Oreochromis niloticus: one gene and its partners. The protein of the gene in region 1 binds, or shares a complex with, the protein of each later gene. Links are inferred from orthologs where the notes say so. Each region holds a gene or a part of one and is shown on either strand. Other genes may lie near its edges.

Region 1 (8,265 bases):
ACATGAATACACACATACTGTGCAGGTTACAGGTTTGGCATTGATCAGGTCAATCACAAATAAACTTTGATTTACTGTAATTTAGTTAAACTCGATGTCTATAGAATAGACATAAAGAGAAATTGAAGTTTGTTTATGGTCCTATGTGGCAGTCTTTGTGCAGTCTTGCATTTCCTGTTTGCATCACTGTAACTGTTAAAATTTCCACCTCTTATCTCTGTGGTAATAATTTTGGGGTTTTAGTAGGGAGGCATTCATAGAGCAAATGGTTCATAAGATCACTGGTTCAAGACTGGGAGGAGACACAAAGCCAGCCTCAGGGGTCACAAGCTAGTGGGAAGGGCATCCGGTGTAGTATCTGTAACAAATCAACATGTGGTTCCCTCCTGTGTGGCAACCTCTTGGGAAATAAGCGAACAGCTGAAAGCATGAAAGTACTTTCAGCAGGGAAGCATTCATAGTTCAGCCCATCAATTTTTAAACCCAAATGTTTCTTGTGAGTCTAGTGTCATCAGGAGTGTGAGACTGTACAGCATTTTTATATCGAGACAGTGTCCCACATTTTAAATGACTCTAATTTACAAAAATGGATTTGTGTCAGAACAAAACAACTCAAAAAGAACTTGGATGCATCCCTGCTAAAACCCAAAGATGATTAGCAGACAGAAAGGCTGGAATGACAGCTGTTAGAAGCGTGTACAGAAAACTGTTCCATAGGACCAATTATAAACTTTAGTTTCCATTTATGCTCATCACTAATAAAAAGATAGGAGCCTCAGCTGGAGATGACAAAGTTAAAGATGCTCAGATTTTATTGGAAGTGACCAAGATGCTCAGCAGGATATCAGAGGGTTGGTGTGACAGAGGAGAATGCAAGGAATAGGGTGAAATGGAGGCAGATGATCCACTGTTTTGTGGACAAATTACTTTCAAGTAAAACACAGTCAAGTTAGTATGCATCATTTGTATAACTGAAAAGATGTATTAATAGGCTTTAGTACTTTACCCCACATTGTACTACACCAGCAAAATCTTTGCCTCACATGTGTTTTATTGGCCTGTGATTGCCCTATATGAGAATCACTGGCGAGGACTTTTGTAGAGCCAGTCAAAATGTAGGGCATTGTCGCAATATTTGGGGCAGACACTTGTCTTGCTGCTCTGAAAATAGGAGGGGATGGATCGATCTAAATATTGATTATATAGATACCAGCGTTGGTACTATTATCTGATCAATACTTGTGTGATAGGATTGATCCTTTAGTTTATCTCGTCTGAGATCAGTATGTCGCTTCAGTTACATCAAACAGTAAGCATGTCTGTTCAAACATCCCCACAGCCCTGTCCACACTTCGCTCAACTTCCTTCTTCCTGTTCTGCCATAATTTGTTCTCATGTCACTCAATTTAACACTTACTTCAGTGTTAAATTTTACTGGAACTGAAAAAATATATATCCTGAACATGAAAATATTTAAGTAATTTAAGTATAGTATAAGAACCCTTTTTGGTTCACTATCAAGTCATTTTTATTTATTAAGCACATTTAAAATAACAGGGGTTGACATAAAGTGGTTGCCCAGAGGGCACATTTAAATTCCAGCGCTTCAAAAAAAAGAAAAAACGTGGGAAAAAATAGTCAAAGGTGCTTGTGATTTGTTAACCAATTAATGCAAAAATCACATAATTTAGTTGTCATAAAAACGGATTCAGATTAAGCATCAGATATTGATGATGCATTCACCTCATAAATCATTACATGCGGCTCTTAAAAGTGTTTACACAGGCAAAGCTGGGTCTGTATATACTTTATATAATAGTATACTTTATACTGTATATAATTTTGAATAGATACCAGAAATTGCAATGTTGCATTCCACTACCCCACATTTTTCTGCATGAATAAACTCTTTTCCCCATATATAGTTTTTGAGGAGCTGGAGACTCGGGAGACTTGCATGACTTTAGAGACTTTTGTTGAGCCAGCCAAAATGTGGGACAGAGGATTAAAATCGTGTGGGTACACCTGGTCGCCCTACATGTAACAGACGTCGGTCTTGCTCTGGAAGTGTGGTGCATTATGTGAGAACTCAAATTTCCAGTTTTCCCTGAATGCCCCCTCCGGCCCTCCCCCTGCCTTGTTGACTGTCGCGGTATAGGCTGAAGTTCAACACAGCCGGTGCTGAGCTGGCTGCTGTGGCTAACGGCCTTATTGTGGCATGTACAGGCAGATAATGTGTTGTTGAGTTAGTGTAGCCTTTTTTGGTCGCTACAGTCGTTATCCATAATCAGAACCACCAACTCTGCTAACGACCGTTGCTTCACGATAACAGCTGTGAATGGGATTTGACGGGTGATCTGTAATTACCGTTAGCAAGTCGTTGTTACCAACTCCTATCTCTACTATTTTACGTTGTCCATTTGTCTAACGACCGCTTATTTGTCTTTCGTACGCGGGAGACATTAACGCTCCTGGATACCGAGCCTTTGCCTAACAATACAGTTACTTTGTGGATAGCTAACGTGCTAGGCAGCTAGCTGATACCTGTCAAACTAGCATCTGGCTAGTTCCGTTCTTGTTTTTAAACACGAGAATGGAGAGGGAGACATTATCCCTGCCTGTCATGGAACCGGAGCACACATATGTGGTTTTTGTGAAGGGACTGCAACATGTAAGTATTCATTACAGTATTAAAAAAAAAAAAAAAAAGCCAGACGGACACACATATGAATATTATTATTTACGCTGTCATGGCCTTAACCATGACGTGTTAATTAGCAGGTGGCTGATGGATAATGACTTGGACGGTTCCTGGTCCTAAATCTACTCACCAAACTTGCCTTTAGCATTAGCAGCAGTCGACCGGGTCTTGTATATTTGATTGAAGACCTTTCACTGTCCTGTGCCCTTTTCGTTGCTATCTAACTGTTCTTACAGCCCAGCCTTTGTTAAATTTGTATTGAACATTTAGAATTGAAAAGTAGTAAATTGAAGAGAGGCTTTTAATATTTGCCATTAGTATTAAGGCAGCTGTAATCCCTGTATTTTATTAGAGCCACGGAGTGAGAGCGTGTATATGTTTGCTACTGTTGCCTCATGGGGAGTTCAAAGGTTTCTTTGTGATTGGACTAATACGCTCGGTTTGGTATGACTGGGCATAAATGAAGCTAGTTTAACTATAAAGTGAAACCCACCTAGCTTGTGAAAGAGAAAAGCTTATAGTATGAATTGCTCCCTAATCAAGTAATGTATTAAATGCTTCATACATCACTTCAAAATGTATGTATAGAACAATGTAGAAAACATGTTATTTTTTTATGTTAATAAATAACCAACAGAATTATTTTGGTGACTAAACTGAGAGTGTAGACGAATCTTTTTGTGTTTTTTTTATATCAATCCTGTGTCCTTTATCACATACACTCACCGGACACTTTATTAGATAAATACTTGGGGGCTTGGCAATGTTTTCCAGTGTTCTGTTGTCCAATCCTGGTCAGCCCATGTCAGTCATATCCTTAATTTCCTGTTCTAGCTTACAAGAGTGGCACCTCTGCTGCTGCAGTAGCCTTTCAGCCTTAAGATTCGTTGTGGGACAGAGATGCTCTTCTTGTTACTCTTGCTAATCTTGGTTGTAATGAGTGCTTATTTGAGTTACAGATGACTCTTTAGTGAAGTGTCATAGTTTGGTAAATGTATGCACAGTGTCTTAGTCTAATGGTAGATTTAATTTGATGTTTAATCAGAGCTTCTGCAGTGTTTTTATTGTATATTGTATTGTTTCTTTTTCCATTGGGCTTTTTTGTTTATTTATTTTACAGCCAGAATTATAGTCATAATTATTTTTGATACATTTTGAAACATGGTAACTCTGTTGTCTCTTTTTAATTAAGTGTATTTGAGCTAAATAAAAAAACATTTTTGTAAACCAAAGTATTCATGCCATAGCCTGAACTTAGGCTTTTACTGAGAGGAAAAGGTGATGTTGCGATAGGCAAAATGAGAAAATGATTGTATAGGAGAGCATGACACTATTGTTTTTTTCTGTGATTAACTGTTCAGCTCTTCCTTCCTTGTTGACAAACATCTCTTATAATCATCTTGGCTAGAGCTGAAGTAAATCTACCGCAGGCTGTTTGAATTTTTAGAGATACGGAAAAGTGCAATCAAGTTATAACACAAGACAAAATAAGAGCATCACTATGAAAATAATTTTCAATCTTCTTTTCACCACTGTTGAAAGCTGTGTTTGTAACTAGAAATCGATATAATTTAATTGCATAGTGCTATTTTAACCATCTGTTTCCAGTTTAATTTCATTCTCCGGAGTTAAAGCTGTGGTTGTGGGTTTTTTTGTCTCTTCAGATGATTTCATTGCTGCCTGAAGAGTGGAAGCCAGGAGAAACTTTGTTTGGCTGTCCTTGGCAAACTGTTGTCATCACTGCTTTGGTTGGAGTAGTGACCTTCACCCTTTTCTTCTGGAGGACTGTGCTGGCAGTAAGTGTTGTGATATTGCTGCTCTGTTTATTTGGCGCCAGTAAAATGCCAATATTATTTGTATGAGCTTTGATTTAATAAGGCTTTGTATCCCCCTGGGTTATACTCCCATTGGATTGAGTTATATACAGTATAAAATCTTTTCTGTTTAGGTCATTGTTGGATGATATTATACACTGTAAGATTCAAAATTGATTTTTTTAATTTTCATTTTTTAAAGATAAAGAAGAAAGAGTACCTCGGTAAGTTTTCAGTTATAATTTTTGCACAACATGACAAAATGTATATGTGTACGGCCTCATTGATTGTGTGCTTTGTGTTATTGGAAAAGTGGATGAAAAAACACTCAGAGAGCAAATCCAGGTGCACAAAAAGGAAAAGGATGAAGCTCTTGCCAAAATGGCTGAACTCCAGAAACAGGTGAGCCCCATAAAGAGAAATGTTGCTGAGTTTCTCCTGGACAAAAACAAACAAAACACATCTGATTCATGTTTTCTTCTTTTTGTAAAAGACTGAACAACTGAAAGAAAATCAAAAACAGTCAAAGGAAACTGTTAGTTGTGCAGTGAAAAAGATGCAAGAGCTAGAGGTAAGCAGTAAGAGTCTTTCTCATATGTATTTAGTCTTACGTAACTGGGTTAAATCTTTGTTGACACTCAGTTATTTGGTGAAGGGTTGTCGTTAATTTTTTTTCGTTACTGTTTGCAGAGTAAAGTCTTACAGGCTGAAACATTGAATAAACAGATGGCAGAGGAAAAGGACAAATACGCACAGCTACTGGAGGAAGAGCGGGCAAACACTCTCCAAAATGAAACAAGAGTAAGTGTTTAATTTTGCTTTCTGCTCGTTGTTATTTGCATTCTTTTCGCTGATTCATGCTGCAATTATTATCATTATTATTATTTTTATTTTAACAGATTGAGAAATTAGAGAAGTTAAACGAGAAGCTACAAGCTAACAGGAAAAAAATGCAGGAAGCGCTCTCTAAGGTACAAATCCTTTTGGGATTTGTTTTTTTTTTTTGCAAACTCTGTAGTGTTACTTTGACCTTTTAGCTTTAATTTATCTTATAAACTGTTTTCTTTCATCCATAGACTACTGTTCTCCTGGATGAAGCCAAGATTCGCGAAGATGCCCGAAACGTTCAACAAAAATGTCTTGAGAAAGAGTTTGCTGCCTTAAAGGGCGAGAACAAAACAGTAAGACAGATATGGATATTTCTCTTCTTTTATTTCTCTTTTTCTCTTGTCATAAATCTGAATATTTCATCAGATTTAATTTATGCCCTGTCTTTTCTAACAGCTGAAGGCCACCATTAAAAGCTGGGAGGAAAAACACACAGAGCTTAATGAGAAGATTAAAGTCTATCAGAAGTCCCAGAAAGAACTGGAGGACTCTGTGGTGCTCAAAGATCACAATGTGGAGGTCATTTTTTTCACTAACTACTGTCATAGCTCTTCCTGATTTTTGTTATTATTTATTTATTTGTTATTATTTATTTATTTATTAAATCTGTATTAAATCGTCTCACTCTTGCACAATATGTCTACTTCAGGTGCTGTCTGAACTTCTGTCTGACCTGGAAGCTTGTGATTTACAAAAAGGTGACACCAAAGTTTTGGCCAATGGTGAAGTAGCACCTGGTAAGTTTGTAGTTTATCAAAATATTAAGGGATATCGTAAATGTGTGGATGAAATACGACAAGTTGTTTCATTAACCACTGTTTAATAATATAGTGTTTTGTTGTTCTTTCAGTGTCTCTTACAGACAAGAAGACGACCATAAAGAACAGAATCAAACAGATGATGGATGTTTCTAGGGTGAGATATCAACAGATGTTGTAAAGCTTATATTTAGTTTATAGAGGATTGTTCGGTTTCAAAATGTTAGTGCATTTTCTTGTATTTTTCTCTACAGGTTCAGACCACTCTTGCTGTAGTTGAAGAAGAGCGGGATCGCTTCATGACAAAACTACTGAATGAAGAAAAGTCCAGGAAGGCAATGGAAGGTACATTTTGAATTAGATTAATTAAGAAGTTGTGTAATTCAGTTGAAAATGGGTATCTGCATCCCACTAAACTCCTTTTTGTTTTATTTTAAAACAGAGCAACACCAGGAGCTTGAACATGCAATCTCAACTCTGAAAAGTGAGAAGAGCCACATTGAAAACCAGTTCAAGATCCTCCAGCAGAAAAACGAAATCATGGTCGAAATGTATCAGCAGAAGGAAAATGCTCTGCAGCAGTAAGTGAAGTCTTCAGCAGATTAGAAATTGTTACTTCCTGTCCTGAATGTCTGAAAGTCGTCTGTATTTTTGTAGTTGTAAATTTTACTTGCTGTCTTTACACCATGAATGATGATGATGATGAGTAAGTGAAACCTCTCATCAGTCATGATTTGTGGGAGGACTGGGAGTCACTATGTTTCTGTGCGCACACAGGAAATTAACGAAGGAGGAGCTGGAGCGGCGCAGCAAAGAGAATCTGCTGTCGGAGGTTGGAGGGAAAGCTGTTGAAGCTGAGGAGCAGGTTAAAATCTTAAGGCAGCGCATTAATGAGATGGAGGACCAGATGAAGAAGACTGAGGAAGTCTACAAAGAGCAGGTAGACTGTGTGTTTGTTTTTTTATCTTAACGTTTACAAATTAGCCAACAAAATAAAAACATTACTCCAATCTGAATCTCGGCTGAATGTGATTTTCTTTCTTTAGATCAAAGAGCAGGAGAACAAAACTCACTCAAACTGGGTATGTTTCTACACCGTTTATTTACAGTTTCTATAAATAATTTATTCAGTCTGTGTAAGATTAATATTGAGCTAAAGCGTTACTCTGCTTCTTTGCGCTGCCTGCAGGTGAATGCTCGTAATGCAGAGCGAGCTCTAAACCAAGAGAAGCTCGAATCATCGAAGCTTCGTGAAAAGTGAGTTTTGGCAGTTGTTAAAGCTTCCTTGTTGTTGTGGAATATCAGAAATGTTGTTTGTTACTCATAATGAGGCTGTTTCTATACAGGAAGTTGCGAAAGCCTGAAAAAACCACTAAACAGTGGTTACCGCACATCATAGCTGTTCCTATTACTGCTTAATGTGACTTCAGGCTGAATAGCTTGGAGGCTATTGATTGTTTTGTTTCTTTTGGACAAACTGTGAAATTATTTAATGACGTCACCACTTGCTCTGTTACATTTTCATCAGATAATTAAAATTACCGTTAGTCACAGCCCAGTTTAACTGCATCTGAGCTGTTTTTCTTCCTATTCACAGATTGGCTGTACTCACCTCTCAGCTCAATGAGCGCCGCGCTCCTCTCTTCAGACCAAACTCTGGTCAGCCTGCAGGCCCTCGCCAAGGTAAGCAGGCACATCTCACCCTCTATTTTATTTCCATCAGCTCAGCTGTCATCCTGAAGAACCACTGAAGATGATACTGTTTTCTGTTTGGTGGGGGACTCCAGTTTTGCCTCCAGTTTTGCCTCATATGTGTTGTGATTGTGTATTTGTCCTGTTCATGTGCTTGATTTTTCTTGCAGGACCTCTTTATTGCATGACTTGTTGTTTTGTCAGCTGCAGTTCTTTTGTTTTGGTAAATTGACGGTTCAATTGTAACAGGTGACTCATACGGACCCTCTCCCGTGAGTGGGGGTGCACCATCCCCACCTATAATGATTGAGGGTCCCAGGCGTCCTCCTTCTGCCCCAGTTGCTCGGAGAATTGACCCGTTTGGTGAGTCCAAGTGGATTGCTTCCCCCACTTCCTTTTTACCCAAGTGGAA
Region 2 (7,392 bases), about 11 Mb from region 1:
CCTTCGGTCGTCCAAGGTCATTGGACAGATGCCTGAAAGATAGAACCAATCACAGTCAGCACACCTGAAGCCCTGCCGGAGGTCGTCTGACGGCGTGGAAGATACGTACCACTCGGTCATGTCATCCAGGCAAAAGAACAGCTTCAGAGTGACGATGATGAGGGCAGCGGCTTGCAGGTCATACCGCGGCAGGGTGGGGTGATTGTGCGGGTCAAATGTGTGGAGCGTTTGATCCATCATACCGGTGTGCTCCAACAGCCTGCAGACCCAGGGGTGGAGCTCATCTGACAGGAAACAGGCGTATACAGGTACACTCTGTCAGTGTTTGTATGTAAAGATGGTCGCCTCCAGAGACCACTATCGGTCAGAACACTGGAGCAGTTGTTACCGGGCAGGTTGACGTCGGACAGGTATCTGAGGCTGAGCAGCGCCGGGTGCAGCAGGGTCTGCCGACTGACTGGAGGAAAAGCAGGAAGCTGCAGGAACTGAATGATAGTCTCGGCCTCCTTATGAACGGCGTGATGAGACGGGACTGTCTGCAGAAACCAGGTGAGAGCTAAGTCATGCATCATTACCGGGGCCAGGTAATAAACAAGATGGCGGCTTTCTCACCTCGACTATGAAGATGAGGGAGTCCTTCCCTGTGACTTTCATCTCCTCGGGAAGCTGCTCATAGGCGTTCAAGTACGGGATGTGACCCTCATTCACAAGCCTGCAAAACATCACGTTCATTCAGCTGAAAAACTCTGGTTAAAAACCCTCAGCCACACAAGTGCAGGTGGGTGCAAGCGTTACCTGAGCAGGTCGCTGAGCGTCAGCGCCTCACGGCTCCATACCAGAGCCAGGTAGATCAGCGCCAGTGTCTTCTTCATGCTCAGCAGACTCTGGCTCCGCTTCTTCCTGGCCGACAGGTAGGTGAGGGTGTCCGAGGAGCCGGACCAAAAACCGGAGTTCTCTGAGGTTAAACGAGCAGTTCAGCTAATGCAAGAAACCTCATCTGGTCATGTGAAACTTTTACAGGAGCTTCCTGTCAGACTGAAAACGCTTCCAGCACCGTACCTGTGTTTGAGCCCGCTGTGCTTGCTGGGTTCGACTCGCCGTCTGTGCAGCTGATTGCCTCGCTGGCGCTCTCCGAGTCCGAACCCACGGCTCTCTGAGGATTTAGATTTAATTATTAAATCTCAAAAAATGAAATGAGTCAATAAAATGAAATCAATAAACTAAAAAATAAAATAAAAAAATAAATAAAACTTAGTAGATGAAGTAAAACATAAAATTAAAAAAAATGATTAAATATACAAAAAGAATACAAATAAAAAAATTGTGAAATAAGAAAATAAAGAAAACTAATCAAAATTAAGCATTAAAAATACAAATCAAATCAAATAAAAATACAAAAAAGAAAACAAAATGGATTTAAAAACAAACAAACAAACAAACAAACAAACAAACAAACAAAAAAACATAAGGTGAAACTGCCAGAAAAAAAATAATGCAGACGAGCAGTTTCCATGCACCACCCGAACCTCCGCTACCATAAAAACTCACCACTCTGAACTTGCAGCTCCTCACAGGGTCGTGGGTATAGGCCTGGCGACTTTTCTGCAGGTAACACCTCCACAGAGGACACAGCACGTCGTCCTAAAACAGTGACACGAGTCAGGCCTCTAATTGGATGCTTTGTGGTTAACAGAGAGAGGAGGCGGACCTTAAATTGAGGACTGACTCCGAGCGCGAGCAGAGCATCGGCCTGGTTCTTCAGGATGAACTGGAAACCCTCGCAGACCATCCACACGTGACCACGCTCTAAGACAAACAGACATGTTAAACAGGATATGACATCATCGATTTATGCTGCTGCTGATCGGACACTGACCGGCCTGCTTCTTGCGGGGTCCTCTGATGGTTGACACCCTGCTGGACAACTTTAAGAAGGACAGGTCCACCACCTCCCGGGTCCTCTAAGGACACAGTCACATGTTAGGCAGCAGAATAAGGAGGTCCTCTACACGTGGGCTTAACCACCAACACCATATTGTTAAAAGAAGCATCTTAAAGCATGTTTATGGAGTTCTGAATTCCCTATATCCCCATAACAACTTCACACTCATCCACCTGTGTAGTAAAAAGAGTGTCTCTGAAAGGGCACTGAAGAGACCCTGACACCTCAACCTCCAGCTACAGACCACTGTACAGGTCATAATGATGAAGATGTTTTTACCTCGATCACGTTGTGGCAGGACCTGCAGTAGAAGCGACCCTCGTCCGAAATGCCCCAGTCCACCGCAGAACACTGGGCACAGGGCACCGTGTACTCGGCCTGCACGCGCGCACGCACGCACACACACACACACACACACACACGTGGTAATGTTCAGGTGTTTCTGTAAATATTTTAATGAACAAATTAATCTTTCAGTTTAAAAAAAAAAAAAAAAAAGTACTTTATGTATGTAATGTTCACATTTAAATGCCTTTAAAAACACATTTATGTGAAACTGCACAGCAGCGCCCACGGGAAAGAACAACAATTAAACCTCCAGATCCCAAACACTTCACCCAGAAAAGCCTAGACGTCATTAACAACGATTGCTAACACAATCCTTCTGTGTTTATCGGGAATCATTTTTTGTGTTTTCATTTGTTTACTTTAGGGCTGCTTTGAGACTTTGAGTACTTCGACACACAATGTAGTTTAAATAAAAATTTAAATCAAAACTCATTAAGCGTTCACAGTTATTGGTACTGATAGACGGATGAGTTTATTTCAAACATTATAAATAAACTGTCGCTGATACTATGCTAACGGATTTTAATTAAAGAGAACAGTTATTAAATGTGTGCCGATTAACTATTCAGCGGCTGCACAGTCACACAAACCCGTTAAATGTCTGAAGTTAAAGTTGGAGACTGAATGTCGTGCCAATCATCTTAAAACACTAATATTTCTAATGGAGTTTGATAAGACCGAACTAGCTGACAACTGCGTTCACCGTAGGTTGCGTAAAATGAAACGAACTGTTTATGAGAGCACCGCGGGACTCACCGTATGTTCGTCATCCATCCCGAGTGGAAAACTGCAGCTTTAACACGAAACTTTGGATTTTATCGGCACTTCGTTACAACCGCACATGCCTCTGGTCGGAGATACTGGGATTCTTCTTCTTCGCGCTTGATTTCTGGGAGACTGAACGCCTCTCTGCTGCAACCACAGGCCAGATTACATACTTCAACTGCTTCTACTCAGCTGTAAAAATAAAATAAAATAAAATAAAATAAAATAAATTAAATACGTTTTATTTAAATATTGTTATAAGTAAAAATAAAAATAATACATGTGTTAAATGTGTTGGTCAGAGGGCCGGGTGGCGCCAGTGTCCGGCGCCCCAGGGTGGCTGTGGCTACAATGTAGCTTGCCATCACCAGTGTGTGACAATGTGTGTGTGAATGGGTGGATGACTGGATGTGTAAAGCGCTTTGGGGTCCTTAGGGACTAGTAAAGCGCTATACAAATACAGGCCATTTACCATTTACCATTAAAAATAACAAATGATAAATGTGACTTTTATACTTATTTTTAAATCTCCTAGTATAAATATACTGTGTATGAATTTTCTGGATGTTTCTCAGTCACTTTTAATCAGGAGAGTTTTTCTTCCTCCAGATGATGATGATGATGATGAAGAGTTCCTGATGTGCTCTGTGTTTCTAAGCGGATTTGATGAGGTCAGAGGTTATAAATAGATGCCAGATGTCTCTCTGATTCTCTTATATAAGCTGACCCCCCCCCCACACACACATACACACAGAATAATAGTTTGATTGATTTTTATTATTGATCTAACTGAGGCTGATCAGCTGTCATCAATCACTGTCACGGGAATGGTTTCGCGACTTTTTGTTGGACTCGCGCAAAGTTTACAACAAAACAAACACAAACGCCTGACGGATTTTCAAAATAACACGTGCGGGCAAACACTTTGTGAAACATTTCTAAAACAACTGAAGGTTTGATTCTTCCATTGCTATTAAAGAGGGCTATACAACACAGACAACCCACTAAACAAAATTAAGATTAAGATTAAGATGATTATTTATTGATTTGAAACATATTTGTATGCATACATTACTATTTGTATTTGAAATTGTGTAATTTTATTTGTTATTTATTTCTCTAGTTAATTTCATTAAATGAATTAAATGTTGTATTATATTTATTACTTTAAAATGAACTTTTTTACTTACGTTTTAGTTTTAAAGTTTCGATGACAGCACTCCACCTCCAGTCTAAAGGATTACCATCATTAAAATTTATTGGATTATTGATTATTAGCTATCGTGCGTTTGTTTTCGACAGTATTGATTAATAATCAAATGTACCCTTAAAGTCCCTTGCTTTTACTGTGAAAGCCCTCGGGCCTCCTTCCGCCCTCCTTCCTCGGCTCTCGGTAGCTTCACTCGGCCGCTCTCGGGCTTCCTGGTTCGGCGGAGTGGGGGCGTTTGTTCTGCCCGTTTCCTCTGCCCGTTTCCAAACACAACAAAGACTCGAGTGGGGTGAGATTTAGTGAGGTCGGTCCAGAGATGAGCTTTAAAGCTGACGTTTGTTTCTGAGCTGCGGTCGGAGTTTAGTCTGATGCTAGAACGCTGAAGCGAGCGGCGGAAGGTCTTCATTTAGTCCGTCCCGACGGTTCAACATGCGGCTGATTTTCGCCTTTTTAGCCGCTTTCACCGCTTTAACGGAGGCCGCCGTCCCCCCGGACAAGACGGAGCAGGACTTCAGTGAGTGTTTAAAACTGAATTTAATCGTAAATGTGTCCTTTGTGAGGACCGCCGGTCCGCTGGAAAAGTTCATGTTTGAGGCAGAAGGTATGGAGGACCGCTCATGCCAAACAAAAGTTTAATTCGCATAAAAATCACAGGTATTTAAATAAATGGCTGAGTCCAGGAGCATTCAACTTGATCATGATAGGAGTTTATTGAATTAAAATAAAGTCAAATGAGATTAAAAGTTAACATTTTGACCAGAGAGATATAACTATAGTTGAAAAAAAAAATCACAATACACTAACGTGGAACAACTGTGGGTTTAGAATTTATCTTAAAAATAAAAAAGTCATAAATAAGAAGAGAAGTGTAGGGAGTGAATTTTGACTTTTAGGAAAGAAAAAGCAAAACCTAAGAATAATACTGTGCCATAACGATGTTGGCATGACATCACATGTCACTGGTTTGTAATCATGATGTCATCATTTGACAGGAAATGAGGCGATGAAAAGTGATGAGTCCTGAAGTTTAATATTTTAACTTCTTTTATTGTTACAAACTTTTTCTTTTCATAAAAGGAAAAAGTGGATGAAAAACATACATTTATGTTAAATATAAAGTCAGCAGCATTTTATTTGTGTTAATTATTAACTTATGTGTTGATTTTGGTCACGTTTTTGAGGCACGTGTTGGCGTGTGGTGGAGGAGCTGAGGTATTTCACAGGATTTTCAATGCTAACGGGCAGGTTTGCGTTCTCTCTGTAGTGTCTCTCAGAGCGATGCTGGATGACTTTGATGTGCTGCCTCTCTCCAGCCTGCAGACGCACTCCGTCCGCCGCCGTGACGTCCAGTCTCAGACGCACATGGAGAAGCTGGTCAGCTTCAGCGCCCTGCAAAGGTAAGATAGCGGCATCCGTCCGTGCAGCTCGGTGCCATTTTAAAATCTTTGATTTGTGAAATCTGAACATCTCCTCCTCGTGTCTACAGGCATTTCAGACTCTACCTGAGGACCAACGACGAGCTCTTCACCAGCGACTTCAGAGCCGTGGTCATCAGCGAGGATGGCCAAGAGCGGACCTACCCGGTCAACAGGCACAACTACTTCACCGGACACGTCATCGGTAAACTGTTTAAGCAGAGCCTTTGTGGAGGTCTTTGGGGGTAGAATTCTACTAATTGGTTTCTTGTAAAGCTTGCAGAGTAATTTAAAAAAATCCCCAGATGTCCTTGAGAAGGTTCGCGAGGCCTTGTCAGGCTTCTTGTAGATGTTGTCAGGCTGCTACTTCAAACACACGTGTAGAATGCGTGTGGTGACCTTTGACAGGATTAATATGGAGTAACGGCTCCTTTAATGTGTTTTTGTGTTGTAGGGGAGGAGAACTCCCGTGTTCAGGCGCACATCGAAGATGACGAGTTCTCCGCTCACATCCTGACTGATGAGGCCGAGTACAATGTTGAGGTAAACACCTGAGACTTGGAGTAAGCGCCTGCTGAGTGATCGGTCCCTAAACCTTCCTCTGCTCTCTTCAGCCTCTTTGGAGGTTCACGTCGGCGCCCTCTGACGGTCGCCTCATAATCTATCGCTCGGAAGACATCCGCAACATCAGCCGCCTGCAGCAGCCTTCGGTCTGCGGCTACGTGACCTCTGACCCCAGTGACCTGCTCCCTGACAGCGTGAGAGCAGCTGTGGTGGAGGAAAAGGAGGAAGAAGGTGAGAAGCGAGGTCCTCGCCTGAACTTGGCACTGTGACTGCTTCCTGTTTGAGGGTAAAGCTCACACTGACCCAAAGCGACCACGCCCAGGTGACACAGGAACTGCGTTAACCACAGAGACAGCGAGAACTTCCTGTCACTGCGCAGCACAAACGTGAAAGTCCAGTGAAACACCTTCATCTGAACTGAGTACAGAGCGAGCGACACAAACAGGAAGTCAGTCAGAAAAAAGACTTTTAATGTGAAAAAAATAACAAAGTAAAAGCTGTTTAAACAAAAGAAACAAAAGAGAGCTTGCCATCCCAACAGGTGAAATCTTATTCCTGAAAAGTTTGAGCTTTAAATGGGGAAAAAAACCAAATCTGAAAAAGTGCTCTTAAGGTGGGGGAAAAAAACGATTTAAAAAAATCAGGTTTGGGTCAGAGAACAGAGATATTACAGTGAAAACATATATTTTCATATTTGACACACTCAAACGCTCATAAATAATAACAAATAAAAAAGAGCTTTCAGTGTCAAATGTATAAATAACATTGTCTGACGTGTTTCGGTGGTTTCTTGTTTAGAGTCGGCGTTCAGAGTGAAGCGTCACGTGCACGACCACAAGAAGAACACGTGTCCTCTGCTGCTGGTGGCCGACCATCGCTTTTACAAACACATGGGCCGTGAGGAGGAGAGCACAACCCTCAACTACCTGGTCGGTACCACCTGTACATCCATCACCCCCGCCATCCACTGACACTTAACCCCACCCCCTCCCAACTGTGTTTCAGATTGAGCTGATCGACCGTGTCGACGACATCTACAGAAACACGTCGTGGGGCGAGGGGTTCAGCGGGTACGGCGTCCAGATCCAGCAGGTGAGCATGCTCTGTTCCGCTTCCTGTTTGTGTTGTCCCACTGTGATTTTTAACGT
Region 3 (8,080 bases), on another chromosome or scaffold:
ACATGCCCCAAAATGTATTTTCCACCGCCGTGGAATTACCAAAAGAGGGCATAGCCTAACATATGAATCAGGAAAAGACCGCCGTGTAATCCATTTATTTCAACAAAGTAAATGTATTCTGAATACCACCTTTTTAAACGGTAACTGTAACGGAATACAGTTACTCATATTTTGTATTTTAAATGCGTAATGCCGGTACAGTGGTCCCTCGTTTACTACGGGAGTTATGTTCCAAAAATAACCCGCGATAGGTGAAATCCGCGAAGTAGCCAACTTTATTTTTTTACAATTATAATAGATGTTTTAAGGCTGTAAAACCACTCACTACACAGTTTATACACTTTTCTCAGACAGGCATGAACATTTTCACACTTTTCACTGTTGTTTAAACATTTTCAAAGTTCAAACCTTCGTAGAAAAATAAGTCCAGTATTATAGAATGAAACCAAATCACCCGCGGTTGCCTTTAATGGTGCAAAACGTCTCGTCGACATTGTTGTGTTTGTTGGGGAGAAAACTTACAAACATACAGTGCAGCACTTCAGAGTCACACTGCTAGCGATCGAAGATTTATCTAAATTTAACAAGCTGAACGCATTCTGTACTAAACAGGAGACACGGCACGAAATTGATTGACAATGGTCTACAGCCAATCAGGATGCAGAACACAATGTGCTGGAAAAAAAAAAAACAAAAAAACAAAAAAAAAAAACACACACACATGGAAAATTGCACCAAAAAAATCATCGAAACAGCGAGGCCGTGATAGGTGAATCGCATTACAGCGAGGGACCACTGTGCATGTATTCCGTTACTCCCCAACACTGACTGTGGATATGGAGCAGTCAGGTAAAAGGACAAGAAGTAGTCCACAGAAAAGAAACATGAATGTAGTGAAGGAGGACATGCAGAGGGCTGCTGTGAAAGATGTTAGCGATCGGGTGAGATGGAGGCAAATGATCTGCCTAAGAGGAGCAGCTGAAATGCTACTACAGTCCTCCTGCTCAGCAAAAGAGAAAGGACAAAGACAAAAGAAAACTACGAAAAATATTGAAGATTCTTGCCTTCAGAAACATGAGGTAGAGCTGACCAGGAGTGAGCACTTCCTGGCACACGATGCTGTCGGGGTTTTCTTCCATGCACTCCTGCTTGGCAAAAGTGAAGAGCTTCCTTGTCATCAGACACAGCAGGTAGAACTTCTCCACATCTGACTTCAGGTGGATGCAGATACACTCACTGATCAAAACAGAGTAAGACCCTTTTTTTAAATAAACATACCACCAAAAAAAAGCAGAATAGTGTCAACTGTATCCATCCCCAGAGCTTACTTTAACAAGAAGTTGGCACACTGTTCATTTGTGTACCACTCAGGGAGGTTCATCTTAACCCTGAAGCGCTCTCCGAGGTAATTGAGCACCTTGCTGCGGGTGGTGCAGTTCTCCTCCGTGACGATGCGCAGCATCTCAGAAACACAGGTCTTGTAGAAAGAATTGTCCTCGCGGCCTTTGATCAGCTCCTGGTAGATCTGGAAGTCTGTGAAGTCCACCAGAGCCTGAGGAACATGACAGCAAATGAGCACACAATGAGCCTAAAGCATTTTTATCATAATCTGTTCTGTAATGAAAGCTTGTTCACCTTTAACGCAAAGCCTAGTGGGAGGAAGAAGAGCTCTTTCTGGTAGATGAAGTTCAGCATCACAGTCCCGTTTTCCAGATAATGCAGGTTCATGTTGATGGCTGTGTGCTCCTCCCTCACGCAACGCATAGAAATACCTGTGAGGAGAAAAAGCCAGTGAAAACATGCAGGCGTGGAGTCATTGCTGCACTGTTTTCTTTAGAAGTAATACTTACCGTACTGAGTGTAACCCTGACCCCTGTTCTTCCACTTGGGTCTTGACATGGCGATAGGATAGTTCCTCCTTGGCATTATCAGCATGCGGATAACCTTCTCAATTCCATTCACAATGAAATAACCTCCCATTTCCTGTCAAAGTTGAGGCTGGTATTATAGGACAATATTTAAACCCATCCTGGCTCAGTTTGAAAGTACAACTGCCATATCCTACCTCGGCTTCTTCGTGATGCTCTACGAGCTCTTTGGGGGACATGCCATGCAGGTTACACAGCTTGGACTTCACCATGATGGGCACATGACCCAGAGACTGCTTGATGATGCCTTTGGGAACTCCGTTGATCGACCAGCTGACGTCTGCCTGAAGTGAGGCAACACTCACCCAGTCAATATGGATTATTTTAATGTTGCTCTGGGAATATAAACACGACTCAGGCTTACCACTATTTTCCCTTTGTACGAGCATCTTCTTCCCCGGCACTCTGCTGGGAACACCTTCATTTCCTTGCAGATGTTCCCTTTGGCAACCACTGGGTTTTGGATGGCAGCTTCAACGAAACCAAGGCTGATCCGTTCATTTTTGAACATGAACTCTAAGGGGGGGATGGCCTGGGAAAGGTGACAGAAAAGTGAGAAACGTAAGAAAGGCAAAGATTATGGGAAGCAACTGCAAGAGGGATGTTCACAGCAGGTTGAGCTGAGAAAATACTGCTGGAGCTGATATCAGCAGCTAGTCGCCCAGCAGGAAACCAAATTCTTCACTCACTCATTTCATCGTTGTTATGGTGGCTTTCACTAACCTACCTACCTACCTACCTACAGTAACTCACTGCATATGACTGCACGGCGTGTTCAAGACAAGCTTACACAACTCCGAGTCACACAGTGTACGTAACTAATCGCAGTTTTAACTAGTTGGGGTTAATCGCTGGTCTTAATGAAGTGATTCATCACATTGTTGAAAACTTTAAAGAAACTTTTGCTGACCTGCACAACGCGGTTGAGTCCGTCTATGACCGCCTGGTCAAACGACTCGATGTGAGCTTTGGTCAGATCCTGAATGGCAGCATGCTGGGTGTCCTTCATGTGGCCAAAGCTTCCATCTGTCAAATTTTTCAGACTCGGACCTTTAGGAAGATCACTCCACTTACTTGAAAAATCCATGCTTACGCTTGTTTACCACATGTGCATGGTTGACACAGGAAGCACATGCCCTACACAGGAAGAGAAGCGTTTTCTTCTTCGCTTACGTTTTTTGAGTGTAAGTAGACTCGCTCACTGCTAGCTTAGCGCCATCTTCTGGGAGTAGTTATGCATAAAAATTCGTTTAGCTCAAGTGAAGCGAGTGGTGGTGATTGCGACCCTCTTCCAGGTGGAGGCGTTGTGGGACCAACAAACAGCGGTGGTTTTCAATGGAAAGAGAGGACAGAGAAACTGTGTTGATGGTGTTATAAGCTATAGAAAACATGATGTATGAGGTTGTGTGCTGGGTGTATATTTATGAGGAGAGGAGAAATAGTGTAAAAAGACTGGGTCCCGCTGTATTACTCAGGCTGCACTACAGCGTCTATTCACAGGCGCGATCCCACTACTGAGCGGCACGGGGGCTTTGACCTGCTTCGTTTCCGACCTGGGCCGGTGCACCCCTCCTTAGGCGACCTGGTGGTCCCGAGCTCCCCCAGGAGCACCATATCGATGCCGAACTTAGTGCGGACACCCGATCGGCATAGTCCGCTGCAGCTCAGAGCTCCTGAGCTCAAACGATCCGCCAGCCTCAGCCTCCCGGTAGCTTGGATTACAGGCGCGCGCCACCGCACCCGGCGAGAGGTGCTCTCGTTTATGCAGGCTTTAAGGTGTCTACACGTGACGTCATCAGAGAGGGACGCTCTATCCTCGCGGCACCTGCTCATTTAAAATAACATTATTATTATTCCATAAATAAAAAGGCTAAAGGTAAAGATTAAATCATAATGTTTCACATTACAAATTCAATTCAATTTTTTTTATATAGCGCCACACTGTAACAACCAATGTCTCAAGGCGCTTCATATTGTAAGGTAAACACGCTACAATAATAGAAGAATACAAGAAAATGACATATTGTAATGTAATAAAAGTGGATTGAAAATATGATTCAAAGTCTCACCAAGTTCAACCATTTTACTTTTCAAGGCTAAATGTTAGTAGGACACGTCCACAGATCAAACTGAAAAACATTTTCCCCTCCAAATCACTTTCGTGAAGACAATTCTTTGTCTTCCTGACCTTTGTCAGCTCCAGTTTGTAAAATCAATCTGTACTGGTTATCTTGACACATAATCCACAACTCCACTTATTACACTTTGGTTGCAGCAATCATTTTACACTACAACATTTAGTAAAGAAAAACAACAATAGTCTCCTTGAGCTGAGGAGTTGTTAATAAAACTGCTCTGTGCTGAGTCTGCATAATGACAGGAGGGTTTGTATGAATGCAAAAACTTTCATATAAAACAACTCTATTACCAGTTTGCTTCGTGCACAGGGAGTGGCAGTTTGAATATCCAGTGTCTGTACTGAATGATGCTACTTTAAGTGCTTGGTGATTTGGTGGACTGCCTCTATGTGATTAACAGACTGAAATAATGTTGTCCATGTTTCTCATCTTATCTGCTTTGCAATAAACGGTTCTTTAAAACTTCTTTAACGACTGAGCCTTTGCCTTGGGTTTGATGACTAAAGTCTCCACTCTAAAACGGGTGGATTATATTAAAATCTATGATTATTCACTCCAAATTATTTTTAGACACTATAACAGGTCATCCAACTAATTAGGCTGCTTTTCAATGTAACATTGTGATGTTTATTATACTGAATTGAAGTCTGCAAATATTAAAACTTAAATAACATTTGCAAACAGCATATTCCTTTAATATTAATTACCAGGCACTGCATGCAAGACATTATGATTGGGAGCTGAGCCGCCCTAAAAGTTTGAACCCAGAATGGCCCCAGCTTCTGATCTGCATTTGTAGTCATGTTCCCAGAGGAATGTGCCATATTCATTCTATTTGGCTAATGTTTCCTCACTTTTAACAGACTTCTGTTTGATAGCACATAAAGCACTGCTACATCTTAGTCAACCCATTTAATCCCACCGACAACAATTGTTGCCGTTTTAACCCCCATTACATTAAAAAAAAACTGTAAACATATTGTGTGTAGGGGAAGTCTAAGGACTAAAATGCATGCACTTATTTTACAAGGGAAAATTTGGGATTAAATGGGTTAAGTAATGAATTACAGGCTCTGTGTGCTAGAGCTTTAGAACCTACTGTCTTTCAAGACACTGGTGGCCAGCAGGCCAAGGTGGATGTAATATCGGGGGAGTATGTCTGTGCAGAGTTGTCTCATCAGTCACCTTTTTAATTGTTAATGTGGATTTTCCCTGTTTTGATTTATTTTCCCTTTAGTTTGATGTTGTTTGTTAGTCTGAGTTTTTCTTCAGTTGTGGCCAAACACATCAGCACTCTAAATATCCAGCACTGACCCACAGCTGTAAAGTGAAAAGGAAGTGAATTTAATGTGTTCTCAGCCAACCTTTACAATATCCTCAGCAAAAAAGATACAGTTAATATTATTTTATGTCGTTTCTTGGATGATTGGAGGCAGTAGACTACAGTCCAGTAATGACAGTGGGCATCAGTTGTTGTTCATTTGAGATTCTGGTAATTACACAAGAGACAAATTTGAGGGCTAAAAGTAAAATCCAGACAAAGACATGGCAGAATTTCAGTCTTTATGGCTGTTATCAGTCTGTGGAAGTATTTAGTCCTTAGGTAGGATGAATAAAGTCGAAATGTTTGTACATGTGATGTGCACTGCAGTAAAATTTATTATGAAGTCAAGACAAGCAGTTTAAGTAAATGTGACTTAGTTTTTATAGTCTCTTGATTTTTCCTTCTTTAAAAAAAATTATTTCAAAGAAGTAAAACAAAATCCAATTCTGTTAGTTTGGACAGATGTGTAACAATCCATCTACATCCATCCATTTCTTTTAGCCAACTTAAGCTTGTAGAAAGAAGAAAAAAACGTATAGGTGAATAGTTTCTGTGAAGTTGCAATGAGTGATGTAATTGCCACTCTTCTCCAGGTGGAGGCGCTGTGGGACCAACAAACCAGTGTTTTTTAATGGAAAGGACGGAGAGAAAAACTGTGTTGATGGTGTTATAAGCTGTTAAAACATGATGTATGAGGTTGTGTGCTGGGTGTATATTTCTGTGGAGAGGAGAAATAGTGTAAAAAGACTGGGTCTCGCTGTATTACTCAGGCTGCACTACAGCGTCTATTCACAGGCGCGATCCCACTACTGAGCGGCACGGGGGCTTTGACCTGCTTCGTTTCCGACCTGGGCCGGTGCACCCCTCCTTAGGCGACCTGGTGGTCCCGAGCTCCCCCAGGAGCACCATATCGATGCCGAACTTAGTGCGGACACCCGATCGGCATAGTCCGCTGCAGCTCAGAGCTCCTGAGCTCAAACGATCCGCCAGCCTCAGCCTCCCGGTAGCTTGGATTACAGGCGCGCGCCACCGCACCCGGCGAGAGGTGCTCTCGTTTATGCAGGCTTTAAGGTGTCCACACGTGACGTCATCAGAGAGGGACGCTCTATCCTCGCGGCACCTGCTCATTTAAAATAACATTATTATTATTATTATTATTACATAAATAAAAAGGCTAAAGGTAAAGATTACATCACAATGTTTCACATTACGCATTCAATTCAAATTTTTTTATATAGCGCCACACCGTAACAACCAATGTCTCAAGGCGCTTCATATTGTAAGGTAAACACGCTACAATAATAGAAGAATACAAGAAAATGACATATTGTAATGTAATAAAAGTGGATTGAAAATATGATTCAAAGTCTCACCAAGTTCAACCATTTTACTTTTCAAGGCTAAATGTTAGTAGGACACGTCCACAGATCAAACTGAAAAACATTTTCCCCTCCAAATCACTTTGGTGAAGTCAATTCTTTGTCTTCCTGACCTTTGTCAGCTCCAGTTTGTAAAATCATTCAGTACTGGTTATCGTGACACATAATCCACAACTCCACTTATTACACTTTGGTTGCAGCAATCATTTTACACTACAATATTTAGTAAAGAAAAACAACAATAGTCTCCTTGAGCTGAGGAGTTGTTTATAAAACTGCTCTGTGCTGAGTCTGCATAATGACAGGAGGGTTTGTATGAATGCAAAAACTTTCATATAAAACAAATAGAATAGAATAATCCTTTAATTGTTCCACAAGGGGAAATTTAGGTGTAACAGCAGCAAGAAAGACACATATACAAACAAACAGTACACAAGACACAGAACAGAAACGTACACAATTTTTACATATTTACATCAAGGACAATGGTTACCAAAAACAGAGTACTGTACCGTTATTAAATTAAATAAAATTAAATACAGATAAGAGGCAAACCCTGGTTATAGTGTGAATCGGTTGATAAAATAGTGCAAGTTACAGCGCTGATTTAAACCTCAATGTTTGTTGCGAGCAGTTTTGATTGTACAATCTGACAGCTGCAGGGAGGAAGGACCTGCGGAAACGCTCCTTCATGCATCGAGGATGCAGCAGTCTGTCACTAAAGGAGCTCTGCAGTTCAGCAACATTTCCATGCATGGGGTGGGAGACTGTCCATCAGAGATGTTATTTTGGCCAGAGTCCTTCTGTCTCCCACCACCTGCACTGGGTCCAGGGCGCATCCCAGAACAGAGCTGGCCTTCCTGATGAGTTTATCCAACCTCTTCCTCTCAGCTGCCGATAAACTGCTGCTCCAACATACAACACTGTAAAAAATGACAGATGCCACCACAGAGTCACAGAAGGTCTTTAAAAGTGCTCCCTGGACTCCAAATGACCTCAGCCGCCTCAGCAGGTAGAGTCTGCTCTGACCCTTCCTGTAAAGAGCATCAGTGTTGTGGCTCCAGTCTAGTTTATTATTCAGGTGAACACCCAGGTACCTATAAGAGTCCACTATCTCAATGTCCTCTCCCTGGATGTTCATCGGTGTCAATGTGGTGGGTCTGCGTCTCTGGAAATCCACCACCAACTCCTTGGTTTTCCCGGCATTGATCAGCAGGTGGTTCTGCTGGCACCAGTCCACAAAGTCCAGAGTCCACTGTCTGTACTCTGAGTCATCCTCACCTGTGATGAGGCCGACTATGGCAGAGTCGT
Region 4 (6,114 bases), on another chromosome or scaffold:
CTACTATAAATTTACTATATTATAATTTATTAAATCTGCCTGCACCGTGACACTGACAGAGCACGGCTATATTTGATCAAGTAAAATGAATACATTTTACTTGATCAAATGCAGAACTTTTAGTCAAGATATATGTAAGGGGTTAGCACAAATATGCATACTGCTGTGTGAAACGCCACAGGATGCATCCTAAAATGACAGAACTCAGTTAGGAAATGTATTTCTGAAAACATACAAACACTTACTTTTAAGTTCAGTATAGTGTAGATCTGATTTGTAAAATTTGTGGATTTCAAAATGTATTATTTTCCCATCCCTAGACTGAAGTCCTGTGACTGAAGCAGAGCAAAGACAGGCCTTTTTTTGGGGGGACAAAAGTAGAAGAATTCCAGATTAAACTACGGATATGCATCTTCTAAAGTCCAAGGTGTACTTTTTTCTTTTTTAAGTTCTCCAGGATCTGTAATTTTAGATAAAGACTGTAGAATCGTTGCTTCGTTCAAAGCTTGCATGCACAGAAGCGCCTCCTAATTTATGTAACTGTAACATTTATCACTTTTTGTATTAAATGTACAAAAAAAACAAATCCATAAACATAAATCCAAGTTGTTGTTTTATCTGCTTACTGGGGACCACAAAAATCATTTAAACTGCCTGTGTTTGGACTACTGTTAACACATTAAAATGTAAAACTACTGAAAGTCTCTCTACAAGATTTATCATGCTGCTTTGTTTTAATGCATAGAACAAGTGTGGGGACTAAGCTTTGCAACTAGACAAGACAGCAAAGGTATAAGCACATGTAACAATGCCATCAACAGCTTTATTTAGAAAAATGCATCACATTAATAACACAAACTCTCAAAACTTCAGCCTGCACAAAGTCCAAACAGTTCTTCTAGTTTTCATTTCTCCAATGGCGCATAATTCAGCAATTTCTCAATAAGATCCACATGAGAAAGAAGCATCCTCCTGCAGCAGTACCTCTTCAGTCCCAGGGCATCCAGGGCGTCACTTGAGAAGGAAGAAGGAAAAAGTAATGTCAGAGCTAATGTATTATATCCTGAATGAATAAGTACATGGACATTACTGAACACACTGAGGAAAATGGTCTAAATAGCCTCATGCAATTATGATTCACTTAATCCATCAACTCATTTTCAAGTTGACTTCAAACCACTTAACCTCTACAAACGAAAAAAATTCAATGTGCAGCGACTGCACTGCTACTAAGTTGTGTTGCCATAATACAACAGTTATTTACAATTTAAGAGGCAATGTCAGTGGAACAAAACAGAATGTGTTAGTCTTACCCCTCTGTGTACTCGGCTTGAAGAAGACCAAGGTATGCTTCCCATTTGTTACCAACAATCTTGCCACACGTGAAGCAGCGTACAGGGATGATCATGTTTACACACCTGTGAATAGAGACCTGGTTTTTAACTTACCCAATAAAATTACGTATCAAACACCTATGTGATGTTAACGACCCAATTTTGTTTTCATCGATCTACGAAAAACGGCGATAAGTTTAACTTGAAAGTATTAGTAGGTGCCCGGCTAATTCCGAGCTAGCTAGCGTCAATATTATGCTAATACTGTATCTTTGATGTGTAGCTAAGACAACTATAAATTATGCAAGGTGATAAACCCAAACAGTGTTTACCTGTGCGTTGTTTATTGTTATTTTTTGTATCTGTGCGTGTTTTTTCAGGAGCAGTTATCAAATTAATTGAACAAAACACCTAGCTAGCCATTTCAGCATGCGTAACCACGCGCTTAGCATAAATGTAGCTGCTTTAACATGTTGCGAATCGCAGTGTTGGTTGTTTACCACAAAAAGCAGAAGGTCACGTTTTATTTACTCACCGTTGCCACTACCGTTCGCTAAAGCACACAAGTTATGGTCTTCTGAGAGAAACAAACACCGGAGAAGTTGTAACTGCTAGCTTCGCTTTCTCCAGCCGCAACAACAAGAAGACTTCCTGTTAGAATCTTTCAAAATAAACGACTACTTCGGCCTCACTTTTTGTCATCAAGATCCGGAAAAAAAAAATCATCCAGACAAATTTCACGACACTTCTCGGAGAGATGTAGCATGGGTAAAGGTGACTATACGGTTAACTACATTTAGAATCATCTCTAACTTATAAATTTAAAAAAGCCTAAAGTGTATGGACTTTATATTTATATCTATGAACACGTGATGTGGTAAATATCTTGTGCAAATAAGAGAATTTACTTCATGTGTGGAAATGTGTTGTTTCCCTGCTGATGGTTATCCTTTGTTCATCTGCAACAGCGGAGTGAATTTAATTTTATGACGTTTAGAGGTAAAACGAAAAGCTTGATTAGGTGTTTCTTTTCATTATAACGCGTCTTTGTACGCATAAAATTAGACATGCATATCACTTTTCTAGTAAATTATCTTGTACACACACATTAATAAGAGAAACTTATGGGGATATTAGGGGAGAATTCAGTTTCTATGTACCCTTATAGCTTCCATATTACTAATAATATATGTAAATTGTTCATTGGCAAAATGATAGAAAAGCAGCAGCCAAGCTATGAAAATCTCACATATAGCATTGGCATCACATAAGTACAGCTCTAAAAATGACCATAAAGTTGACTCAGCAGACAACAAGCTGCCACCCTAACTATAGAGCAAACTGCAGATGCCTTAAAAACAGACACAATACTTCTCTGCGGTATAACTACATCCTATGTCACATTAAAGAAACATCCTTCTGGGAGGACGTGCTGAGCAAAGTAGACCTGACCACAATAATGGTTTCTGTGAGCCAGCATAGATATTGATTTTGGAGTAAAAATGAATTACATAACAATACACCCTGACCCCAACAATACACCCTAACTAATACTTTACATGAAATGTGCCTTAAATGGGGTAATAAAAGAGTGATTAAAGACGTTCCTGGACACCTGATGCAATCTGATACATTCATGGTGAACTATAAACTTTGTTGTCACAAATAACTGAATAAAATTGAAATGATAATAAAATTCCCAAATAATAAATTATAGTAGTAAATATCACAAATCACAGAATACAGAAAGTAAAATTAAGTCAACCAGAAGTTGATAGATATAGATATAGATATATGTGTGTGTGTGTGTGTATATATATATATATATATATATATATATATATATATATATATATATGAAAAAAAAAAAAAAAAAAACAAGAAAAAGGTTCAACTCTGCCAACATCAATAAACAATTTTTTTTTTAAATAGACATGTAAATATAAAGTTCAGATGAAACTGAGTATCATTTATAATCCATTTAAAGCTGAAGTTGCGATTAAAGACATACTCACTTGGGTTGGTTCACTGCCTTTAATAAAGTTGGGTTTCACTTTCTTTTTACACATTAAGAAGTTTGGGAGCTAAGGGGAGGGTGCATAAGGTAAATATGTTATAAATATATAAAAAATATATCATAACCATCAATACTATCATTACAGCCACCATACTATACCACAGCATACCATCACCCTCATTATCATCATATGTAACATCGCCATCATTTCCATCACTAACATCACACATTATGACAATGTTTATATAATTTAACTTGCTACCGCACGTGTGCTAAATGAGGAGTCCTATCTGAATTATTGCATTTATACGCTGTTGAGATTATGAAAATAGGAATTTTCTTCTTCTTCTTCTTTTTTTTTGGTACACTGTATTGTACAATGTAAGGTGAAGTTTGTTTCAGTGTTGGCGTAGGCCATCTATGTTTTGGACATGCTTGGGGTGCTAAGTGTAGTGATGAGTGCTGAGTGTTAGCACAATGTTAATGGCCAGTAATGTGTAAAATGTATACATATCCTTAAAGTTAAATATGTGTTAGAACTGTCTTATGCATCTACTTATGGAACGGGGGACAATCCCCCCCATGAGCTTTGCAATGTGAGTTGGAAATAATGTGTACAGCTGTACAAGTTAATGAGTGCAGGAACGAAAACCGAGACTGCTTTTTTCCCTTTTGATTAAACTATAGTTCTATCCAACTATAGAACAATAGTTCATGTACACCACACTTTCATTGTATAAGAGTATTCAGGATGCTCTCATTACTAATTCCTAAATGAGGTTGACAAGGTTTAGAAAACATAAGAGGGGCAGAGGGAGGACAGAAAAAACTATCATGTTTTGGCAGCAGGCTTTCAACCTGATACACAACACTAATGGCTGTTCAGCCTGCTACAGCTAAACATCTACTGTAAGATGTAAACAGATTGAAACAGCATGACTGCGGCTGCTGTGTAAGACACGAAAGGTTATTGATTTGTGATATAATTTGACAGTAAAATAAATCTGCTTATTCTACAATAATAAATAACTGCACTATTATACTCTGGTCCACAGTATACATATTTTACATCCAACGACCCTTCACGTGCCATTCCTCGACCCCTGCATACTTATGTGTTCTCTCTGAATTTTTATTGTGTTGTACTTGCTTGTGTTCGCCAGTTCGATGTCTCATACGCTCTATACTTATAGAGGAACTCAGTACCTTCAATTAGGCAATCAATGATTTAGCCAGAGTATTTTCAATACACCACAGTGCACAATCCCAGCTATTCTCTGCTCTTCTCTTCCAACTGTCTCATTTTAAAGTAAAGTAAAAACCTAGAACTCTGATAGCTGCTATTCATATTTCAAAGGTTCAACATTATGATTTCAGGCTTCACGTGTTTCTTTTAGCAAAGTGAACCAAGCTCATTTCTGGTGCAAGAATGTACAAATATTTAAACATTTTTGTCAATATTTGTTCAAATTAGATTAAACCAGACAAAGCAGCTGAATAAGCTACCTTTAAGAGTTCAGGTTTTTAGCTTGGCTTAAGATTTTTTTTTTGTGAGTTTTTTTTTATAATTATATAATTACACTTCAGATGCAGTATTGTAGCAACTTCATGCATATAATATGTGTAATTATGCTCCATATACAGCCTTGATCGAAAATCAAATGACTTGATTCACTACAAGTGAAAGCAGGGCAAAAAAAAAAAAAGAAAAAGTCCCCAATCTTTATCATGATAGTCTGTGAACCAATCAGCAGCGACCATCTAAGTCATCAACCAATAAATACCCTAACTTCAGATAATGATTTGGTTTTAATTTCTCCTTGCCAGTAGCAATACTCCGAGCAAGATGGCTCCCGCAGCAATAACGGCCCCACCAATGAGAAAGGGCTTCAGGTGTTCCAGAGAGTCTGTGCCGGAGGCTGCAGCTTCGTCACCTGCTGCTGCTGTCTCTGTTTCCGCTGCTCCATCCTGCGCAGGAGGGCGATGCTCCGGCTCAGGAGCTGCAGGGGCAGGGTCAGACTTGCGTGGGGCAGCCGGCTCCTTTTTCTCCACTTTAGGTGCTGCCTTTGGAGCTGAAGCCCCAGGCTTGCCTTTGGCTTCCATCGGCTCTGAGACAGAGGTGTGGTCTGGTCACAGGATACTTTATAAGGTCAGCTCTGTGCTGCTTCACTGAGGAAAAAAAAAAGACAGCAAACAGACATAGCCAGATTATCCCTCTAAATTAGGCTCAGACATCATGTCATATGCTCTGTTGAGTGTAAAGCCACTGGCATATGAAAGAGCACCTGATAATCATGGATTCACCTTACAGCAGTGAGCCAGTCGTGAGGCGGTAGGGCCTTAAATGTGACCTTGGAAATATGACATTGATAGGAATACTCCGGTGCTCATAGGGACTTGAAATTGTTTATTTTGATGACAGCTCCTGTGACACGATCTCCCACTGAAGGAAAAAGAAGCCACAGAAGCGTCCTATGTTAATGTTTTTCATGGGACAATCTTCTAGCTTTATAATGGAGGCAAGGGGGGGAGGAAAGCATTGCATCTGCAGAGCTGATGTCAGGCTTAATCTTTACTTCTTTGACCGTGAGAAGAGCCTATAGTGGAAATGCAACATGAAGATTTTATCTTTTTCCCCCTCCTTGTTCTCTATTCTGTAAAGCCTGCATGAGTCATTTGTGCTATAAATGTAGGACAAGATGGAGGAAAGAAATAAGGAGTACAGTCACTGCAACAGAGGAAATCAGGGAAAATGCTAATTAG

Evidence for each region.
Region 2: taf1a (region 1) and taf1b share a complex: the UniProt entries of both Homo sapiens proteins name them as parts of the transcription factor SL1/TIF-IB complex. The link is inferred for Oreochromis niloticus from reciprocal best matches to the Homo sapiens genes TAF1A and TAF1B.
Region 3: taf1a (region 1) and polr1b share a complex: the UniProt entries of both Homo sapiens proteins name them as parts of the pol I pre-initiation complex. The link is inferred for Oreochromis niloticus from reciprocal best matches to the Homo sapiens genes TAF1A and POLR1B.
Region 4: taf1a (region 1) and polr2l share a complex: the UniProt entries of both Homo sapiens proteins name them as parts of the pol I pre-initiation complex. The link is inferred for Oreochromis niloticus from reciprocal best matches to the Homo sapiens genes TAF1A and POLR2L.

Annotation. Positions count from the first base shown.
Region 1 is NC_031980.2:14,112,245-14,120,509, forward strand, and holds the start of taf1a (TATA box-binding protein-associated factor RNA polymerase I subunit A), read right to left. Parts: upstream 3,065-8,265; 5' UTR 2,841-3,064; exon of another isoform or gene 2,832-2,840; intron 1-2,831. Other genes in the region: mia3 (transport and Golgi organization protein 1 homolog), read left to right, coding at 4,366-4,497, 4,718-4,739, 4,829-4,917, 5,009-5,086, 5,206-5,316, 5,415-5,486, 5,592-5,696, 5,800-5,922 and 9 more. UniProt on the Homo sapiens protein: Component of the transcription factor SL1/TIF-IB complex, which is involved in the assembly of the PIC (pre-initiation complex) during RNA polymerase I-dependent transcription.
Region 2 is NC_031980.2:25,316,098-25,323,489, forward strand, and holds the start of taf1b (TATA box-binding protein-associated factor RNA polymerase I subunit B), read right to left. Parts: upstream 3,237-7,392; 5' UTR 3,065-3,236; coding exon 3,047-3,064; intron 2,321-3,046; coding exon 2,222-2,320; intron 1,962-2,221; coding exon 1,877-1,961; intron 1,807-1,876; coding exon 1,709-1,806; intron 1,642-1,708; coding exon 1,549-1,641; intron 1,154-1,548; coding exon 1,060-1,153; intron 956-1,059; coding exon 796-955; intron 713-795; coding exon 613-712; intron 537-612; coding exon 389-536; intron 285-388; coding exon 110-284; intron 33-109; coding exon 1-32. Other genes in the region: adam17b (disintegrin and metalloproteinase domain-containing protein 17), read left to right, coding at 4,695-4,779, 5,530-5,662, 5,752-5,885, 6,135-6,223, 6,295-6,475, 7,043-7,173, 7,250-7,336. UniProt on the Homo sapiens protein: Component of RNA polymerase I core factor complex that acts as a GTF2B/TFIIB-like factor and plays a key role in multiple steps during transcription initiation such as pre-initiation complex (PIC) assembly and postpolymerase recruitment events in polymerase I (Pol I) transcription.
Region 3 is NC_031978.2:25,914,559-25,922,638, reverse strand, and holds the start of polr1b (DNA-directed RNA polymerase I subunit RPA2), read right to left. Parts: upstream 3,016-8,080; coding exon 2,839-3,015; intron 2,461-2,838; coding exon 2,293-2,460; intron 2,213-2,292; coding exon 2,066-2,212; intron 1,984-2,065; coding exon 1,851-1,983; intron 1,773-1,850; coding exon 1,636-1,772; intron 1,553-1,635; coding exon 1,329-1,552; intron 1,237-1,328; coding exon 1,065-1,236; intron 1-1,064. UniProt on the Homo sapiens protein: Catalytic core component of RNA polymerase I (Pol I), a DNA-dependent RNA polymerase which synthesizes ribosomal RNA precursors using the four ribonucleoside triphosphates as substrates.
Region 4 is NC_031965.2:19,340,563-19,346,676, forward strand, and holds polr2l (DNA-directed RNA polymerases I, II, and III subunit RPABC5), read right to left. Parts: upstream 2,022-6,114; 5' UTR 1,870-2,021; intron 1,419-1,869; 5' UTR 1,409-1,418; coding exon 1,314-1,408; intron 1,015-1,313; coding exon 906-1,014; 3' UTR 792-905; downstream 1-791. Other genes in the region: cleavage and polyadenylation specificity factor subunit 7, read left to right, coding at 321-339. UniProt on the Homo sapiens protein: DNA-dependent RNA polymerase catalyzes the transcription of DNA into RNA using the four ribonucleoside triphosphates as substrates.